4 linked regions of the Oryctolagus cuniculus genome follow. The main gene of each other region encodes a partner of the protein of the gene in region 3 in a complex. Links are inferred from orthologs where the notes say so. Each region holds a gene or a part of one and is shown on either strand. Other genes may lie near its edges.

Region 1 (4,977 bases), on a different chromosome or scaffold from region 3:
ACAGCTAAATATTTCTCCCAAAAAAAATTCTACCTGTATTATAACCAACGTAGAAGTAAAATTGCATAACAATTTTAAGATTTTCTAAATTTACTAAAATAAACTTGCTTACAAACTTACACTGGTTTTGAATAACTTTCTCCTGGGGACAATGAGCAACTTTTTTGTGCCAAGTGTCATTCAATTTTATAAATCAGTTCCTTTTCATCACCCAACACTTCTAATACATGTTTGTAAATGACAAAGGTCACAAACTACTATCTAATTTTGTATTTAATCATTTTTAAAAGTAGTACTAAAAATAAAAAACACTTAGCTATGATTTCAACAAATTTTAAACCGTATCAGATAAATTCAAAAGTACAATATTATCTCAAAATGACAGAAAAACTAAATATGCATTCTAACGGTTTTGATAATGGAATTACTTTAACAAAAATACCTCAAATTTTTTAAAAAGCAACTTAAAACTAAAATATTCTATCAGTCACAAAAATAGACTTCCTACTATGAAAGCAACCTGTCAAATCAACAAACACTGCTGTAATCTCAAGGATAGTTTATAAAAATTATGGAGCCTTTCCAAACTTAAAATAACAGGGGAAAAAATTAAAGCTTGTTAACAAGGAAGTTATTTCAGAATTGAGATTATGAAGACAACAAAGCAGTTTCATAAGCAAGGCTTTCATACAGCTGACAATATCACCCTGAAACACAATTACTACATTCTGTAATCTCAAGAAAACCAATACGCTTATTTGGACCTATGAGACCAGTTTCTTAACTCCTTACTCTCAGAATTCTTGTATGATGAAAAATTACATCAAGTTCGAGTAAGTATAATAAATAGCAAATGAAGCCAAAACTCCACATCTTGAAATATTACTTGATCAATAATTCATGGTCTCCTGAAGGGATGTAGTGGACAGACTGTTAACTAAAGCAAAACAAAACTCTGACACACAACACTTGTTATTTAAGGTGAATTATCCTAATGCTTGTGAAATGAAAATCACAAGGGACTTGAGAACATGTGTTCAGATCCAGCTCCACCATTTCCACCTTACATTTACTCTTCTGAGTAAATCATTCAAGTTGCTTCTACATCTGTTAAATAGTAGTCAAAAATAACACCTATCCTAAGAAATTTTGAGAATGAAAGGAAGACATTTAAACCACGCACTGTTAGGCAGGCATGTGCCCGTGTGTACACTGGATTAGATGCTCACTGTATAAACTTAACACAAACTTTAAAATACACATTGATACTAATGGAAGAGGATATAGGAAAACAATAAATGGCAGATTCCTCACGGTTCAGTTTGCATCAACTGTTAAATTTTTATTAAAGATGTCCTCCTTCCTACCCATACCTATACAGTTCAGCACAATTTTCCTAAGGTCTGTGCAGTCTATTTTACTCCAGCCAGGATATTTTTCTAACTAGATGCTAAAAACAGAATTTAAGATTAATGTTCAACATATTCCAGCTCTTGTATTCCTAGAAGCATATAAATTTAAGTGTTCACTTTCATCAATTAAGAACCAAAATTCCTAAAACTTTAGAAAGAGCTTTTAAATCAAAATCACTACTGACTTAAAATTTCTGCGTGTCAAAACATTAGCATGGTCAAAATAATTACTATTCTACTTTAGAAGCAATATAAGCAAAAAGTGAGTTCCAAAAAAAGTACATCAAAACCCAACTAAAGTTTTCCAGAGATCGAAAATAAAGGTAGCAACAATCGAAAAATAAACTGAAATAAATTCCTTAAATGTCCCTAAAAAAGGGGGGGCATATTGTTGTTAAGTCTCTAACGATCTTTAGGAAAGTAACACTAATTCCTTCAGAGACCTCCCCGATACAAGACTTTAAATATCTAAAAATCACTGCATTGCTACATAATTAAGATTTTAAGCCACACACTAATGCTGTACCGCTGATTCCAACTCTCTAATTCTGCAAAGTTATTTTAAAGGAAATCAATCCACTACTCTTTCCCACAATGATTTTATACTTGTTTTAAACTTTTTCCCCGGTTTGATAACAAAACAAACAGGAGAAAAGACTAAAATCACGCTGGAGACCACATTCCCGATTAGCAACGAGGGATTGGGGAAAGCAATCGTTAAAGATAAAAGAATAGTCTTTTCTTTTTCTCTTCTTTTTTAAAGTAGAGCCAAGTGCCAGCCGGGGTCTCCTGGCTGGACAAGGAAGTTCTGCCGAACCCGGGCGAGACCAGCCATGTTGGAGAAGCGCTTGTCAACCGGGGTGACAAGTGCTGCCCAGCACGGCCCGACGAGGCTGACCTTGCCGGCCCGGCGCGCCTCCGGGCCCTCTTCGGTTCCGCCCGCCGCCCCGGGCCCGGCCGGGGGTCGCCTCCGAGGGAGAGCCGCGCTCAGGTCCGAGCGCCGCGGCGAGCCGAGGGAAGAGGGCGGGGAAAGCGCGGAGTCGGGGGGAGACGGCTGCAGAGTTGGAGCCGCTCGCCGCGGCGAGGAGAGGGGCGCGGCGCCGCGCGGCGTCGGCGGCCGCCAGGGATTTCCGAGACCAGAACCTGGGGGAGGGGCCGCGAATTCGGGGTCCGGAGGTGAGAGGGCGCCCGCCGAGGGGCCCGGGAGTTGCAGCGGGGGAAGGGAAGGGGCCGCGGCGGGGCACTGACCTGTCCTCCGAGTCCATGCGGCTCAGAGGCTCCCCGTCCGACGACATCTCCAGGCTGCCTCGCCGGCCCCCGGAGGTCGCGCTGCTTCCGCCTCCCCCGGTCCCGTAGCCCTCGTCGCCGCCGCTGGAGACGACGCTGCTGCTACTGCTGCCGCCCCCGCCGCCGCCCTGGCTGCCCCGCAGTCCCTTGGGCTCCTCCAGGCCCTCCTTGCCGTCCCCATCCCCGCTGCTGCTGCTGGCGGCACCGGGGCTCAGCGAGCGCGTCTCGTCGCTGCTGCTCCCGCCGCTGCTGCCCACCAGGCTCTCGGCGCTGCTCTCCTCCTCGCCCCCGCCGCTGCTGCTGCTCTCGTCCTCCTCCTCCTCCTCCTCGTCCTCCTCGTCCTCGTCCTCCCCAGCCTGGCTGGCGCTCTCGGGGCTCGGCTCCGACATCGTCTCCGCCTCGCCGCCCCCCACTCCGCCGCCGCCGCCCCCGCCGCCGCCGTTCAGCAGCAGCGCCGCCACCGCCTCGGCCTCGACCTCCTCCTCCTCCTCCTCGTCCTCCTCCTCCTCCTCGGGGGGCTCAGCCCGGCCCCGCGCCGCCGGCCCTGGGCTGCCGGGGGGCAGAGGGCTCAGGCGGGAGAGCTCCTCCAGGTCGGCCATGTCGGTGATAGCGGCGGCCATGGCGGCGCCTGCTCCTCCTCCTCCTCCTCCTCCTCCTCCTCCCCGCTGCCGCCGCCGCTGCCGCCGCCGCCTCCCTCTCTCGACTCGCGCTCGCTCGCTCGCCCCCTCCCCAACGCCCAAAACTCCGCGGCCGCCGCTGCAGAGCAGGAGGAGGGCTCGCGGGCTGCGTCAGCCTGCACACGCGCTACGGAGCCCGCGCGGGGACAGGCGCGCACTCACGCGGAGCCGGCTGCGCGCCTGCGCGGCGGCCCCAATGGCGCCGCCCCCGGCTCCGAGGGCCGCGCCCCCCGCGCGGGCCCGGCCGGCCGCTCGGAGTTTCCTGCGGGCCTTCCCACGCCCTCGCGGGCGTCGCGGCCAGCGGGACACGCGGCCGGAAAGCCCGGGACGCTGACCTGGGGATTCCGAGCGGACGCCCTGCGGGTTCCCACGACCCAGTCGGCGGCCCCGCGGGGATGTTCGGGGAGTGTCCCTGCGTGCGGACGCCGCGCCAGAAATCGGGCACGTTCTGGCCGCCTGAGCGCTTCCAGTCCGCGAGGACAGGCGCTGGCGAACATAAATACAAAATGATCAGCTAGGACGCAAGTCCGTTCTCCCGGGCAGAGCGCAGCCCAGCGCCGCCGGCCATAAGTGAACAAACTCAGCCGACGTCGCCGACTCGCGGTCGCCACACTGGAGCACCTGAGCCCCGAGCGCCTCCTCGGCCCGGCAGGTGCCTCCTAGTGCGGTCTACACTGAGGTCGCCTTCCGTTCCGGCTTGTCCCTAAGTGTCCCCTCTGCCACGCTTTTTTAAACACAGCCAACGGACTCTACATACCTCAGGGGTCTGGTCTGCAGCGAAGGCAACCCCTTTTTATTTAAAGGGCAGAGTTCACGGAGCTCTTCCTCCCGCTGGTTCGCTCTGCAAATGGCCGCGACGGCTAGGGCCGGCCCGGAGCCACGCGCTGCATCCGGGTCTCCCGCGTGCGTGCAGGGGCCCGAGCTCTGGGGCGCGCGCTGCTTTCCCAGGAGTCTTAGCAGGAAGCTGGATCCGAAGTGGAGCAGCCGGGACGCCAAGCGGCCAGGCGCTGTATTGCAGGCCGAGGCTTTACCGGCGGTATCACAAGGCCAGCGCCTTTTATATGTGAACCATTAACGTGATTCCTTCACTTTCTAGGACTCTTATTGCGTCCCACCTCACCTCCAGAATTTTATCCTAAAAATATATTTTATACTTAAACTGTTGTATTGATCACTTTACCAAGTTTGCTGGTCATAAAAATGTGTGTATGAATTGAAATTTGCAGGTTATTTTTTACATTTTATGCTATCATAAAGGTTTACGTCTCCAACAACATCTTATTTCAGTGGATCAAAACATAGTTTAAGTAATTGAAAATAATAGCAAAAAAAAAAACTACTGAAATGCATCTCATAGAGATGTAGTTGTATGGATTTGTTTCCAATTAGTCTGTCAGTGGGTGTTAACTATAATGAGAACAAGCTCGGAGTCAATTCTATTACAAGTTTTCAATTCCATAAATATCAGCATTGAGAAAACTTGTTCGAAGAAATAAGCAGGGGCCAGCGCTGTGGCACAGTGGGTGAAGCAGCCGCCTGAAGTGCCAGCATCCCATGTGGGCGCCAGTTCAAGTCCCGGCTGCCCTTCTTCCAATCCAGTT
Region 2 (4,789 bases), on a different chromosome or scaffold from region 3:
AGGCCAACAGCAGCAACTCTTTGATTTTAAATCCCCACTTGTATTTGTTGTGTTTGGAGGAGCTGAGCCCAATTTCTCTCCCCTACAATCTTGGTCTCTTTCAAAATAGTCCTGAAGGAAGTATCAGAATAATTTATCTTTAACATTAGTTATAATGAATATGAACTAATTTCCATCATTCATCCATCCCAAACGTATCAGAACATATAAAAAATCCCTCCTAGTTTTAATAAGACTCTTTAAAAACATTTTTGCTTTGTTACAGATAACATGAGTGCTGAATATCTTTGGGTTATTTTCTTTTCATGTACCCTTTATCCAAATGGTCAGCACTTACTCCATGTTATGACTAGAAGCTGACTCCCACATCCCACTGGACCCACGCAGCAATCTGAAATGTGTTAGCTGATTATCCGTTCCTTGTAGAGTTATATTTCACAAACAGCTTTCTCAATAAAACAGAGTATCTGTCTTTGCCCAAAAAGGTGTCACACTGAAGCACATCTTACCTTTCTCATAGCTGACTCATCTGTCACATCTCTCCCCCACACCTGAGGAGTGCTTAGCAGTGCCTGGCACATTGAGAGTGTTCCACAAATACTGCAATTAGTAAGACCTGGACTTTTTCAGCGTCCATATTTTTCCTGAATCTTTATTGTAAATATGTCTTACTCTGCCCTCTCTTTGCTTCACTTTCCTTTTTTCATTCTCAACCAAGAATTCTCTGCTAACTTCAAAAGGAGGAATGACTTGCAATCTGCAGAGAGTAAAACAGATCTTCTCACTGTCAAATCATCTTGCAGAAGTAATTCAAGTATACTACAATTTTATGGCTGCGACACTAGACTGGTTATCCCTTGTGTCTTACGACGAGATCCAAAAGAGAAAACATATCAGGCAGGTGCTCAAGGTATGCTGGGTTCCTTCTCACTTCCACGCATTTACAGATGAGGACACTGAGGTCCAGAAATACCAGCACTCACAACTGTGTTCTAAAACAAAGGAGGCTGCGTTTCCTTCAGTTGTACGGCTTGATGACCCATCTGACAAATCAACAAGACTCACCAATGTATTCTGCACCTGTCAAGAGTGCAGATGTAAGTAACAGAAACTATTTTGGTGAAGTACTAAAATTGTATTGTTATTTGCCTGTCGCTTAAGTCTCACGGGTTCATAGTTGGAACTATCCACCGATTTATAGGCCTTTGAGTTTTTCAGGGCCTTGTTTAAAAAGAGCACTTGAGTTGTAGCTGTTCAAGGGTCTGTAATTTTAGCACACTTCTACTTAAACCTTAGCCAATATTGGCCACAACCGGTTGAGGTTAAAAAAATTATTGCAATAAATATTCATCAGACCAAACATCCGTCAAGAATTTAGGGTGCGTCCTGAGACGATGATTGGTAGCGCTTTGAAATCCATCCCTGGCTATGCACACGCAGTAGAAAACTACCAGGTTCAGCAAACAAGATTTCGAAAAGAGGAGGGGCCTGGAGGAGGAGGGACCCCCACAACCCAGCGCGAGAATACGCCTCGGCGCGTGCGCACCTCCAGGTGGGTGCCTTCCATTTGCCAGATGGGGGAAGCAAGTGCGACTCAGTCTACGGTTTTTAAATTCCCATCCTCAAGCAAAAGTTACGTTGGCATAATCTCGTGAATCTCGTGAAGTCGTCACCTCCCGAGTTCAGGTTTAAAGACTCTTGGCACGCAGAGCTTAAGCAAGAGGTGACTTAGCAAAGCTTCCCCCGTCCCCTGGGACACCGGTGGTCTACTCCATCCACAGACTTTCGCTCCCTTTGCAGCGAGTCGGAGATCGAAGGATTGGGCCAATTGCGGCTGAAACGTCTCTGGAAGGAGGAAGGGGGTGACGGAGCATCCCTTTTGAGTTCTGCCTGTTCTTTTCGAGGTGGTGGTGGGGACGGGAGACATACGAAATACTACCCTCTTAAGCCAACGGATCCTACATCTCCGTGCAAACTGCCGGGGGGGCGGCGGGAAAAGGGCAAAACGGGAGTCGGGAAAGGGAAGGAGCCAGAAAGCCGCGCAGGAGGGCGCGCGCGCGCGCCCCTTTTTCAGCAGTGTGGCGGGGTCGCACGCACGCCCGCCTCGGCGGCTGGGCGCGATTTGCGACACTGGGGGGAGCGGTGGAGGTGGCGGCGGCAGTGGCAACTTTGCGGCAAGCTCCGGACGGGCTTGCTTGACGGCGGTGTGGCGGAGGCCCCGCCCGAGGCGGCAGGAACCTGGGGGGAGGCGGAGGAATATGTCCGAGAGGGAAGTGTCGACAGCGCCGGCGGGAACAGACATGCCTGCGGCCAAGAAGCAGAAGCTGAGCAGCGACGAGAACAGCAACCCGGACCTCTCTGGAGACGAAAATGTGAGTGCGGCCCGGAGCAGCCACGGGACTCTGCGGAGTGGGAGTTTTTAGATTCTTTAAAAACTGCGGGTGCGGGATGGGGGGGCCGGCGCTGGGGCGGGGAGGGGGTAGAGCGAGAGGTGTCACCCCGTGCCCGGGATGGGGAGGGCGTGCGGGCGAAGTCGAACCTGTGTCTGGCGGGGATTTTGAGCCGCGGCCGAGAGCAGGCAGAAAGTTGGCCAAGGAGAGTGGCTTAAGTGAGAGCATGGGTCCGAGAGCTCTCCTCTGCCTGTGGGGAAGTGTTCGGGCCTTTGGGAGATAGAGGGAAGAGTGCGGGTCTGAGATTCCAGTAGTTTAAAAGGCGTGCTAGATTTTCTTTTTTTTTTTTCCCTAAGAGTGGGAAGGAGCGGGCAGTCGAGAACTCTTTCAAAGGAGTTCGGGCACTGTGTCGCTCTGACCCCTGTAGAATCTTCAGGATGCAAAGGGTAGATCTTTGAGTTAATGGAGTTTGAATGAGTGTTTAAGAGCGCCTGGTGTCTGCTCCCGTCCTGTGCGAATCCAATAATGAGAATCTAAAAAAAAAAAAAAATCTTGAACGTGTTTTAGAAAGCTGGTGCGAGCATTTCTCAGTTTGGCCTGCTTTAGGAATAAATGTTGTATCTCACACACGCTGTCCTTAAATTCCCCAGCGTGAATGCCTACTGAAGCGTGTTTATGGCATGGTGTCATGACCAGGATTTTCACGGAAACGGTGGGGGAAAGATTGCTTTCTGCAGAGAAGAAAGATTTCTTGGAGATTGTCAGCTTATGGGGTTTTGCACTTAAAATTTCTGGAAAGTTTGTCTGATATTACTTTAAATATATCTATATGTATATTTCTGTTTGTTCTCCCCAGTCTCACTACATAATTGGGTCTAACATTTTTTATCTTCATTCCAAGTCTTGAAGACCAAGTTTTATTTCTTCGTTTTCGTAAAATTCTGTCGGCAGATTAGGCTGCAGTTAGGAGCACAGACGCTGGATCCACATGTTAGGTTAAAATCCCCACTCTAACTGGTTGCTTGACCTTAAGCAAAGTATGTGACCTAGCTGCCTCAGTTTCTCATCTTTAAAATGGGTATAGAAGCTTTTTTTTTTAACTTTATGAGTTATTGTATTAAATGACGTAATATAGGTAAAGTGCTTAGAGGAGTACCTGCCCTATATCAAGTATTAAGCAAGTGTTATTTGTTTATAGTACTTATTTTGTGATCACCATAGTATGTTTCTTCTGGCTATTTCACATACTGACGAATCAAAATATGAAAATGTTAAATCTATTTAGGAGAATTTCAGGAGAAGAAGTCAATTGAAATCTTATTTTCTTTTTGCAGACCCTTAAGGAGAAATGCCAGTGTTCTTTGTTTCATTCTAAAGCTATTCAGATCCAAATGATTGGATTAGCCTTTGTTTGGGTTGCTCCATTTGGCTAGAAACTGTATGTGCCTTGGACCTTTTAATGAATCTTACGGAGCCTTCTCAGAATAACATTTTTAAATATATAAAATACAATATCTAAAGTTAGAATTTTGAAATTGTAAAGTGTGGCATAAAATATTTCTAAAATAAATTTTAAGTGTAGTAATATTAGCACTTTAAATAACAGGAACTAGCAACAGATCTGGTGGCAGTGATGAGTATAAGCAAGTTTTTCAATATCTGTAACCAATATAATGTGATTTCAAAATACCTGATTTCCATTGGTGAAAAAAATCATGTAACATTAGCACATATATTGTTTGTATTATATAATAAAAGGAAGTGCTAAATTTCAGTTAAGAGCTGTGAAAGTTAAAATGCAGTTTTTTGTGTGTGTGTTTTTATTTGAATTCACAGGCCCTCTCAATTCCATAAGGACTCATGATCTAGGACATAGTTAGGGAAGTCAGTAAGGGAAGGGGTAGAGAATATTGTACAAAAACTGAATTCAGAAAGAACTCACAGCTCTTGAGGGAGGTGAATAATGACAAAAGACCAAAAATAGGTGTGGGAAAAATGTGTTTTTGAGTTCAAGTTAAGACAGCTTGAGCAGTTCCTATTGTTAAAGTGAGTCACAGAATTGAAAGAACTTTTTTAAAGTTTATTGTGTATGTCATCTGCCATTTTCTCAAACTTATAAAGATCCTATTGACAGCAGAGTAGATAGCTTCAGGCTGAGTACTAATGGTTGCCGTGGTTAAAAGAGAAAAGTGAAGGCTGAGTCTAGAGACTTGTCTTTTTGCTTAAGTAACTTGTGCCAAGATTAAAGGACAAATTAGTGGTAACTCCCTGTCTGTTTCCTTGTTGGGCAAATGAAGACGGTAGGGTCATCTGCATCTTACAGGAGGAGGTAGGGTGAAAGCCAGCCTGTGAGACACTGGCATGGATTTGATTTTAAGTTCTTGATAAAATGAAAGTGT
Region 3 (4,968 bases):
TGTATGAAGAATCCATACATATTTTTCCCAACATCTTTTTAAATGTCTGGCCCATACTTAATTGAACAGCCTTTTTTTTTTTTTTACCAACTTGTATCATCTTCCTCAAAACAGTCAACTTAGTTTTCACAGAAACCAACTCTTCACACTAATTTCAAGGCTTACATAATATTTAACTGTAATTACAATAATAAGCCCAACTGGAATAACCAGATTTGGGAACAAACAACTGACACTTGGCAAGCCTTCTGGGTGAAAGCCAAAGGGGACAAAGGCACACCCCAGAGCTAACCACTGGCCAAGAGCTTCAGGCAGGGTTATCAGCCACCCAGGACATTCTGCAGCCAAAGGCTAGCAGGTTACATAGAGGGAGATGGTGGTTAGCTGTTACTGTGAAACTGAGACTTGTACCAGTAATATTAGGAGCTTTAGGACATGACCATCATGATCAAGTACAAACCACTAGCTTAAAAATACTACAATTTACCCTTTTACCAAATGTTTTCAATGTAGGATGAATTTCCCAGTCTTCTTTGAAAGGAAAAGAGGAAACTGGTTCTACTCTGAATGTCACAGATACCAGTTATTTACTAGAAAAGATCTCTTTATGAAAAACCAAAGTTTAAACGACCTTTGGAGCAGGATATAGTAACACTTTAGTTGGGGTTATTTCCAAGACACCTGGAAGCAAGTCAATGGCCTTCAGCCAGTAACAGGGACTGGTTTAACCTACAGTGCAGGAAAAACACCCACTATACCTTCTATAGGTACCAAATAACTCCAATTGGCTATCTGGGTCAGTGGCTATGAAGACCCACAAGTCAATCATCCAAGGGCTAATAACCAAGTTGTATTTTTATGGACATGAATTTATTTCTAATTTTAAAATTTTTGTGACATTTTATTACCTTCAGTACTCTCTATACAGAGACGGTTGCTGAATTGTCTGTCCTAGACTTGCGACGAAGTTCAAGACTTTCTATTAGAAAGTGGAAGAGGTAGCAAGTAAATAACTACAGAATAACCCAAATGTACATGTGTTTAAAACTGGGAGAGGGGCCGGCACCCCATATGGGCGCCAGTTCTGGTCTTGGCTGCTCCTCTTCCAGTCCAGCTCTCTGCTGTGGCCTGGAAGGGCAGTGGGGGATGGCCCAAGTGCTTGGCTCCCAGCTCCTGGCTTCGGATGGGCACAGCTCTGGCCATTGCGGCCACTTGGGGAGTGAACCAACGAAAGGAAGACCTCTCTCACTGTCTGTAACTCTACATGTCATATAAATAAATAAAACCTTAAAAAAAAAAAAAAACTGGGAAAAAAGAATAAGCAAACAAAAACTGAACTCATAAACCTGACCACTATATTTCAATGTAATTCTTTCTTGTTTTTTCCAACTTTATGTAATTGCAGCAAATAAATATGTCTTTTGTACCTCATGGCAAACTTTCTCTGGTTTTTTTAATCAAACTCCACTTGTACATCAGAAAACAATACTTAAAACTTGCAGTTTAGTGGTACAAATTCTGCTTGAGCTGGCCTAGAAATCAAATCGGTCATTTTTTTTTCCAAGTTAGTTCCATGTTTAACTGTATTCTCTTCATGGGGCAGATTTTCTTTATTATTATTTTAAACTCCTATTATAATGCAACGATCAAATGATTGTGAAGTTTGGTTATACTGTTATTCTCCCCAGGAAAACCAATCAGTGGAGAGACAGAAATGATCCACAGAGCAAAATATGCAACTGTTTTTATTATGCAAGTGAATTGGGACTTTAAAAGGCAAATGTCTCCAGTTATTTAAGGTACTGTAGTGGGAGTCGTGCCCAACACAATTAAGACAGGATTACCCTGCAATTTATGAGTTTCTCATGGATGCCACTTAATAAGAAATATAACAATCACTTCTCCCGAAGCCTACCATCACAATCATACCCCCAAATTCTTCTTTCCTAAAGCAATAAACTAAATGGCAACTTGGCAGGCATCTAAGGCTTCTGAGATCAACTGTAGGCAATGTGCTGTCTTCCACCAGCTCAAGTCACAATGCCATAATGCCATCTTACACATGAAGCGGCGTCCTGTGTTACATGTCTCACACTGGTGATCCTCTCGGTGCCTTGCAAGCGGCAAAGGCAGAGACGATGTTTTCCAGTTTCCAGAGGAGAAGGCAGACCCAGAATGTGAGCCTCGCCCCTGCGCAGAAGCACTACGTCCAGACACCATACAACTTAGAGGCGCACTGTGCCTCTACGTAGATGTACAAGTCTTCCCTAGCTTAGCCCCTCAAAATTACTCAGTAGGCACGGCAAGACAGAGATCTCAACCCTGGTACTTGCAAGTCTTCCAGAAAGGACGAATCCTACCAACACACCCCCACACAACAGAAAGTGATAAAGTGGCTGAATCCACCAGATGGGCTGCCAACAAAGCAAAGCTTCCGCTGAATTCAATCGCCTTCCTTTCCACTAGCACTGGTGAGTGGCGCAGGAGCTCAGCAGGACCGCAACACCCATCAGGGGCACTGGTACAGAGGAAAGGAGACATTCCTGCGGAGGCGGCGCCCCGACCCGCTCCCAACCCAAGTGGCCTCAGAGCAAGGTCCTCGGGCACCCTCCGGAGGGTCGAGGCTCCTGTGCTCACCTGGTGGGAAGTGCAGCGATCCACGGCAGAACGCAAAGGCCCAGCGCATCCTCCTGCTCGTCCTCCTCTCGCGCCGCAGCCCCGCGCCGCCGCAGCCCCCGCCCCGCTCTCCCCTCCCTCGGCAGCCCCGCGGCGCCTGGAACCTCCTGTCCGACTTGTGACGTCACGGTGGAGGGGACGTTTCCACCCGGGCCCGACCCTTTGTGACGTCACAATGACAACAGAACGCGGCCGGGAGCGGCAGGGGGCCTGGAGCCGCGGGGGGCGGAGGGAGGGGCCGGCGGCACGGGAGCGCGGCGCGGGGAGGGTCGGGGCCTGGCGAGGGGCCGCGCCGACGTCTCTCCCGCTGAACCTGTTGCTCCGAAGCCTGCGTCGGAGCCGGCGGGCAGGGCCGCGGGGAGCGGGCGAGGCCGGCCGCGCCGCCATGCTCTGCCTGCGCGCCGCGCGCCCCCGCCCCGGCACGCCCCCGCCGTGCTCGCCCCCGCCCGCCTGCCCGCCCGCGAGCCGGCCTGGGAGCCCGGCGCCCGCCTGCCCGGAGCCCAGAGCCCGGAGCCCAGAGCCTGCCCCCTACAGGCCGCGCGCCCGCCTGCCCGCCGCGACCCCGGGGCGCCCTCCTTCCGCTGCCGGCTCGGGCCCGTCGGGAGGACAGGCTACGCTCCGGGCACGTTAACCCGTGCTCTGCCTCCGGGCCGGCGGCTGGACACCCGGCCTCGACACCACCAGCGGACCGCCTGCAACAAAAACCCGGCCCATGCCGCGCTGCAACTTGACGAGGTCCGGGATGGGGAGGCGGGGGCGGCTCTTGTCCAAGTTCTACCCCGTCTGCTTTGTGCCTGCATCCGAAACGGACGTGCCCCGAGAAGGCGTCCACGCTCAGGCAAGCTGTCTCCATGCAGTTTCTACGGCCCGAGTTTAAACTAGTCCTTTGCATTCCACCCAGCCCTCTGCAATGCGGATGTATTTTAATTCCTAAATTCTTTGTGGAACAGCTTTCTAAGTTAGGCTCGATTATTGAACCTTGCTTTCTTTCCTAGTTGAAGTTTACGTGTCTAGATTAGCATCAGCCTCCAGAAGACACATTCAGCTTTTCCATTAAATATATTTTGTACAGAACCACTTCCCCGAAGGTCATCTCCCATTACACACACCACACCGATGAGAAAGGGAAAATGCTAACACCAATTTGTTCACTCGACTTAAATAAAACTTTCTTATAATCCTACATATTTCTAATATGTGTTCATTTGGCCTTTTTTTTTAAAGCCCTTTAAAGCATGCAGCTAGCTAATCACCGATCACTCCAGTGCATATTTGGTTAATCCCTCGGTCCCCCTCATTCCTCCCCCCCAAACTTAAAAAAAAGCCACCACACACAAAACAAAAACACTCCCTATGCCAATCAAAATGTAGCTGTACTATGCACAAAACAAATTCAACTATCCCAAACCATTCAAATCTCTGAATAATCGCCCAATTTCACAAACCCAGTTAGCAGGGGAAAATTATTTGTGGTCACTTCCATGTGCATTAACATACATACTTGAAAACATTAGCCAGCGTGTGTGTCTTTTTCCCCTAAAACTGGAAACCATGAATTTTTTAAACAAAACCAGCCTCATTATTAAAGTCAATTCCAACAAATGCATATGCTGTAACACGATTCCCAACCGGTTCATGTTGCAAACCAGATAAGCCAAAACGACCACATACATTAAATGCGATGTACCAGTACAGAGAGAAGATCGCCATAATCGGACCCTCGATTGAACTTAAAAGGGCTTCCAACACACATGCCTTACGCGATTTTCCAAATAGCATTAATAATAATAACATGGCCTCATCTCCATGTGCAAAGTGCAATATGGGGCCAAATCCACCGGAGAATGCAGTTTAGTTACCTTACCGCAGCACCCCCACCACCACCCCCAAGCTCCACCAAAACCCCTTGCCTTTCAATCTAAAACTAGATTATGGTTGTGTCATTCGAGGTCAATTTATTCACTCGAGATATCGTACACCAATCTGGCTTTTCAGCCAAACTAGGCAGACACGACTTTGCCTGAGAAGCCCTTTCAGAAAAGAAAGAAAACAGCCTTCTCGGACGCTGTGTTTAAAGCCCTTCAGCTGCAGAATTATCTATAAACTTGACATTCACAGCCATTGCTTAAAACTGCAAGCCAGAGGCTGTGTTGTTAGGAGCACTTACGTATTTCTTCTGGATGATATTCCTCTTGGGTCTTTCCTTGCTCATTCTGAGATCCAAATGCTGATTGCAAGAGGGGACAATTGCTTCATGAATTTAAAGCCGTCAGAAATTTGCAAAAAAATATC
Region 4 (4,753 bases), on a different chromosome or scaffold from region 3:
GTACCTAAAGGACTTCTAATTTTCAATATCATAAATTATAACTAGGAAGAACCTTAAAGACTAATTTATCTTGACAATTATTTTTCTTTATAATCACTGCTTCTCAGAAATGGAGGAAAAATATTTTCCAAAGTTCTCTATAACACAAATATATCCTGATTGCTTTGCAAGTTCCTCTGTCAAATGATTTCCCTATATTTTCCATATTCTCTTAATTCGTTCAATTATTAAAGTCCGTGTTTTCTAGCAACTGCCAACGTAAGTGCTAGGTATATATTAAGAAAAATAAGAGAGCCTCTGCCTCCAGGCAGTTAGAATGCAGTGAAGGAGCCCAATGCATAAACAAGTGATTACAATACAATTTGATACATACTGTAATAACAGTATGAACAAAGACTTCTGAGAACACAAGAGTGCCTGGAAATTGCGGGAGGGCCTCTGGAAGGTAAAGTTCATCATCTGATCAGGAACCATTCTCTGAATTTAACAAATTGCTTGTCTCCACTTATGCTCTCATTCAAACTAATGGTTTCACCAATCCATAGAGAATTCGTCATCATTTACAAAAAATGTATTCATCAACAATACACGCATAAAGACTTCAAGGATAACTCATATATCATTTCTCAGTGACCCCCAAATTCATTGTATGATCAACCGAGTTGTCAGTTTTTTAAAAGAAGCAGGCCAACTTTCTTACTCATGGCTCATTTAAAGGTTAATAATAAATTAAATTTACATCCCTTGAGAATGCCACTTCAAAGGATAAAAGATATCCTGGAAAAACTCCAGTGTGACCTAGAGAAATCTGCCTTAAAATTTTTAAATGGCCAAAACAGACCATCATTTATATGTACACGTGCAAGCAAAGCCAATATTAAAGTATTTTTGTTTTATCTAACTACACTAAATCAACAAGTGCTTTTTATATTGCTACTTAAACTAAGTAATTCTAAATTAAAAGATTCATAAAGCTTTCAAAAATAATTTAAAACAAAGTTTAAACCAATTTCTCAGACTTTTTTAAAAAATATCTATGGCAAGTACAGATAGTGATTATCAAATACAGAATACACAAGGGCAAAATTAGAATTTCTTATCCTAAAATACCAAAATTTCTGCCAAAAATCTGCACAACTAGCTCATAACAAAATACCCAAGGTTACTACTATTTTTAAATACATAATTGTCAGCAAATAACATGGACGTAAATGTGATTTCATAATGTCAACCCTTAGAGTAGCACCTGGAATGTGTTGCTCAGTGATGTCCAAAACGCTGCAAAATAGATGTAACACAAAATTTTAGACTGTATTTGTCTCCATGTCTCTAAAACCACAAGTTAGTAGATGCTTATTTGACCTTCAGATAGAACACTATGTGATCAGAAGATAGCCTATGTTTTTCTAACTTCCTTTCTTGGAACATATTCACTTTCTACAAAAGTCAGAATTTAAAAGAGCAATTTTCTCTAAACATTACATTCCCCAACACACCTCCAAAAATGGAGAATAGAATTCTTTATATCTAGAGTAGAACAGACTAGAATCCTGTATGCCTAATTTTAAGGGGATTATGTACAGGAAATTAAAATATGCCCTAAATATTTTTTATTTTCTTGCAAATAAAATTAAATAAACCAGTTAAGACTATATACTTGTTCTGCATTCTTCTAAGTGCTCAATAACAAAGAGTAATAGAAAATAAACTCCAAAACCCACGTATTGACAACACTCCACTATTCCAGAATTAGTCATTTTTAAAGGTTTAAGTGCTATGTTATGTGACATTAAAACATCATAAAATTAAACCTAACTTCTTGAAACCTAGAAAGTAAACCTCATAGTAAAACACTTTAAATAAAGATTCTTATTTCCAAATGAATCTAAATTTCACAGATCCTGGGTGAAAAACAAAGGAATTTTAGGTTAACTGTGGGCAGCATACATTCAATTTTTCAAGCAACGAACACTTCTGCATCCAGTCTTTTCAGACTCACCAAAGCTATTGTTCAGGGAAAGCAAGACCAACTAGTAAGAAACTGCTAACCCTAGAGCCTAAACACATATTCGGAATGGGCATTTTATCTGGATCACCTATTTCTACCATCAAATCTTCATTCAACCCCTCGGGATTGGGAAATAATCGCCGACTAAATGACAGTTGACTTCGTTAGCACCTGTCGCCAGTCCCAGATGTACCACACAAGTTAGTCAAAACAGCTTGTAATTTCTTAGGAAAAAAAAAAAAGAGTATGATTCTTTAAAAACTGGGAACTCACTATGCGTTCACCAAGTTTTCCGAAATCTCGCGCTTCGTGCGTCCTCCTATTTCCAAAAAGTCACCCCGCGGCAGAGCCGTGCTGCTGAGTGGAGGGGGTCGCACAATGAAGCGGGAACTCCACAGAACGGCCTCGGGGCGAACAAAACCCGCGGGGCGGACGCCAGCTCCGCGCTGCCCTCAAACTTCACGCGCAGCCCGGCGGGGAGGCGCCCCCAGCCCGGGTCTGCGGCGGACGCGGGGTCTCCGGGAGACGTCAGACGCCCAGCTCCTCCGGAGTTCCCACGTCGCGGCCGCTGCCCGGAGCCGGCGCGGGGCGGGACCGAGCCCTGCCCACCCGCGCCCGCGGCGCCCCGCGCCCCCACGCGCCCGCGGCCGGGGACCCCCGCGTCCTGCCCTGCCCTCACGCCGAGCTCTCCGGAGACACAGTCCGTCCTTTGTCTGAGTGCGGACTCGCGGCTCGCTCCCACCAACTTGTGTGTGTCCCGTCCCACCCGGGCGCTCCCGCGGCCCCGCCACACAAAGGAGACCTGAAGCTCGGGGCGACCACCCGGACCGGGCACCGGAACGCCCCCGGCCCCGGCGCCCCGGCGCGGGCAGCCCCGGCGCCGGGAACCCCCCGCCCCGCGCACGCCTCGGCTCCCTCCTCGCATCTCCGGGGAGGGTCCGCGCTGCCCCGCTCGCGGGGTCGCGCGGGCCGGCCCGCCCCTCACACGGTCCCCCCAGAGGGGTCTCCCCTCTCCCCTCCCCCGCGCCCGCGCGAGCGGCGACCGGGGAAGCCCCGCTCGGACGATACCGGGGACCGGCAAGGAAGCGGCGGGCAGGTCCCCGCGTCGCCGCCGCCCTGGGTCGCACTCCCGGAACCCCGCCGGCCGAGCTGCCGACAGCGCGCGTTACCTTCGTCCCGCGCGCCAACCCGCACCGCTCCCGCGCACCGCCCCCGCGCGCCGCCGCCGCCGCCGCCGCCGGGGCTCCACTGCCTTCTGTGTCCCACTGGGTGTCGGACGCGACCGGACCGAGCGCCAAACGCGACAGCCCAATCGCCATCGCTTTTATTTGGCCCCCCCAGTCCAATCAAGCGCCGCCCCGATTGGCGGGATGCGAGGCGGGCGCTCGTCCAATCACAGGGCCTGCCGGGCTCGGAGGCGCCGAGCGAGCCCCACGCAGAGCGCGCTCGGGACTCGCGGGCCGGCGGGCGCGCGGGTGCGCGTGCGCGCGAGCGGCGGGGCCCGGCCTGAGGGACGCGGCTCACCGTGTGGAAGCGCTGCCGCCGCCGCCGCCGCCGCCGTCTCTTTGTTCTTTGGCTGAACGCTCGGCGCCTCTCGGGAAAGCGGTGGGCACGGAAGGCGGGGACGGGGCAACTCTGTGGGGGCCCGGAGGCCGCCGCCGGCAGAAGGCGGGAAGGGTGGGGTGGCGGGAACCGGCTGGAGGGCGGGGCTACGCGCTCGCGGCTCTTGGCGGGAACCGGCGCCGTGGAGTTCCCGGCGGGGGAGGGGCGGGCGGCGAGAGCCAAGTTTGAACCAATTCAAAACTCGGGGGCGGTAACGGTTTTAACTGCCGCGCCGATTTCCCCGCGCGCGGCGCGCGGAGCGGAGCGGGGTTGCGGCGCCGAGTTTACGGGCGGACCTGCCGCGCGGCCTCGGTCTCGGGTGCCCCGCACGCCCGCCCCCCGGGAGAGCCGTCACTTTTACTTCGGTCTGAGGCGGCCGCTTTCCCGCCCGCACTCGGCTGGACTGAAGCCGGCAGAGCCTGCGGTGCCTACCCGTAGAAACCTGGGGCCGAGAGGCCGGACGGTTAGGGCCCCTTTGTCGTGGAAAGCGCCCCTCTCGGACCCTTCCTGGTGATTGTCGTTCCAAGCACGTGCCAGCGTTAAAATGTGTTTATTCAGGCTGCGTGCGGTTCACGTGCCTCACGCTACGTCTCTGCAGAGTATTAAAGCGATGGCAGCGTCTTGGGGTGGTTAGAAAGTGATGGGGGGGGGGGGTGTTAACCTGCCTCAAAGGCGTCAGAGATAAACTGCTTAGGGTACAATCTCTCCTGTGCCTTATCTGGCGACGAAGTTAAAAGTATTCCAAAGTTGTTTTCCATATGATGCATCTGTAGGGCAAAATACCCTTTTTCACTGGGATCCCACATTGGGAGATCAGGCTGGGAATTTTTAAAAGGTCAACTATGGACTGTTGGGTAAAAAGCCTAAAAAAATGTTTTATGAATTAATTTTGTAAGTTAGCCCATGATTTTCCCATCTTTGCTAAATCAACATCTAATTCCTCATATATTCTGAACCAATTAAGTGCTGGAAAATATATGACAGGAAGCCAAAAGAGAAAAAAAGCAATCATGTGCCCCCGTAAAAGCCAAATTACCTTACAAATAAATGTTGGAAAGAGTCCAGAAGTAGATGTTATGCCTCTTCAATGTGACTATAAAGTAGTGAACTCTGTTAATGTCACCAGTACATATCATTTTCCAT

What was found.
Region 1: the proteins of JARID2 (region 3) and AEBP2 are in contact, whole or in part, in a cryo-EM structure (PDB 8VNZ), measured with the Homo sapiens proteins. The link is inferred for Oryctolagus cuniculus from reciprocal best matches to the Homo sapiens genes JARID2 and AEBP2. Residues at the interface, in NP_004964.2 of Homo sapiens: Ser148, Lys151, Pro152, Lys153, Thr154, Glu155, Asp156, Leu158, Thr159; in NP_001107648.1 of Homo sapiens: Arg407, Ala410, Ile411, Asn414, Leu415, Glu420, Ser421.
Region 2: the proteins of JARID2 (region 3) and EED are in contact, whole or in part, in a cryo-EM structure (PDB 6C23), measured with the Homo sapiens proteins. The link is inferred for Oryctolagus cuniculus from reciprocal best matches to the Homo sapiens genes JARID2 and EED. Residues at the interface, in NP_004964.2 of Homo sapiens: Pro109, Gln114, Arg115, Lys116, Phe117; in NP_003788.2 of Homo sapiens: Pro95, Phe97, Tyr148, Arg306, Asn307, Tyr308, Cys324, Asp362, Ile363, Trp364, Tyr365, Arg414, Asp430.
Region 4: the proteins of JARID2 (region 3) and EZH2 are in contact, whole or in part, in a cryo-EM structure (PDB 8VNZ), measured with the Homo sapiens proteins. The link is inferred for Oryctolagus cuniculus from reciprocal best matches to the Homo sapiens genes JARID2 and EZH2. Residues at the interface, in NP_004964.2 of Homo sapiens: Arg108, Pro109, Arg110, Leu111, Ala113, Gln114, Arg115, Lys116, Thr154; in NP_001190176.1 of Homo sapiens: Arg78, Ile131, Pro132, Tyr133, Asp136, Ile146, Lys156, Val157, Asp160, Arg161.

What each region holds. Positions count from the first base shown.
Region 1 is NC_091440.1:117,093,438-117,098,414, reverse strand, and holds the start of AEBP2 (zinc finger protein AEBP2), read right to left. Parts: upstream 3,527-4,977; 5' UTR 3,320-3,526; coding exon 2,661-3,319; intron 1-2,660. UniProt on the Homo sapiens protein: Acts as an accessory subunit for the core Polycomb repressive complex 2 (PRC2), which mediates histone H3K27 (H3K27me3) trimethylation on chromatin leading to transcriptional repression of the affected target gene.
Region 2 is NC_091432.1:77,386,695-77,391,483, forward strand, and holds the start of EED (polycomb protein EED), read left to right. Parts: upstream 1-1,473; 5' UTR 1,474-2,258; coding exon 2,259-2,372; intron 2,373-4,789. UniProt on the Homo sapiens protein: Polycomb group (PcG) protein. Component of the PRC2/EED-EZH2 complex, which methylates 'Lys-9' and 'Lys-27' of histone H3, leading to transcriptional repression of the affected target gene.
Region 3 is NC_091436.1:155,486,240-155,491,207, forward strand, and holds the start of JARID2 (protein Jumonji), read right to left. Parts: upstream 3,071-4,968; 5' UTR 3,064-3,070; coding exon 2,638-3,063; intron 1-2,637.
Region 4 is NC_091434.1:174,689,439-174,694,191, reverse strand, and holds the start of EZH2 (histone-lysine N-methyltransferase EZH2), read right to left. Parts: upstream 3,345-4,753; 5' UTR 3,328-3,344; coding exon 3,077-3,327; intron 2,612-3,076; exon of another isoform or gene 2,282-2,611; intron 1-2,281. UniProt on the Homo sapiens protein: Polycomb group (PcG) protein. Catalytic subunit of the PRC2/EED-EZH2 complex, which methylates 'Lys-9' (H3K9me) and 'Lys-27' (H3K27me) of histone H3, leading to transcriptional repression of the affected target gene.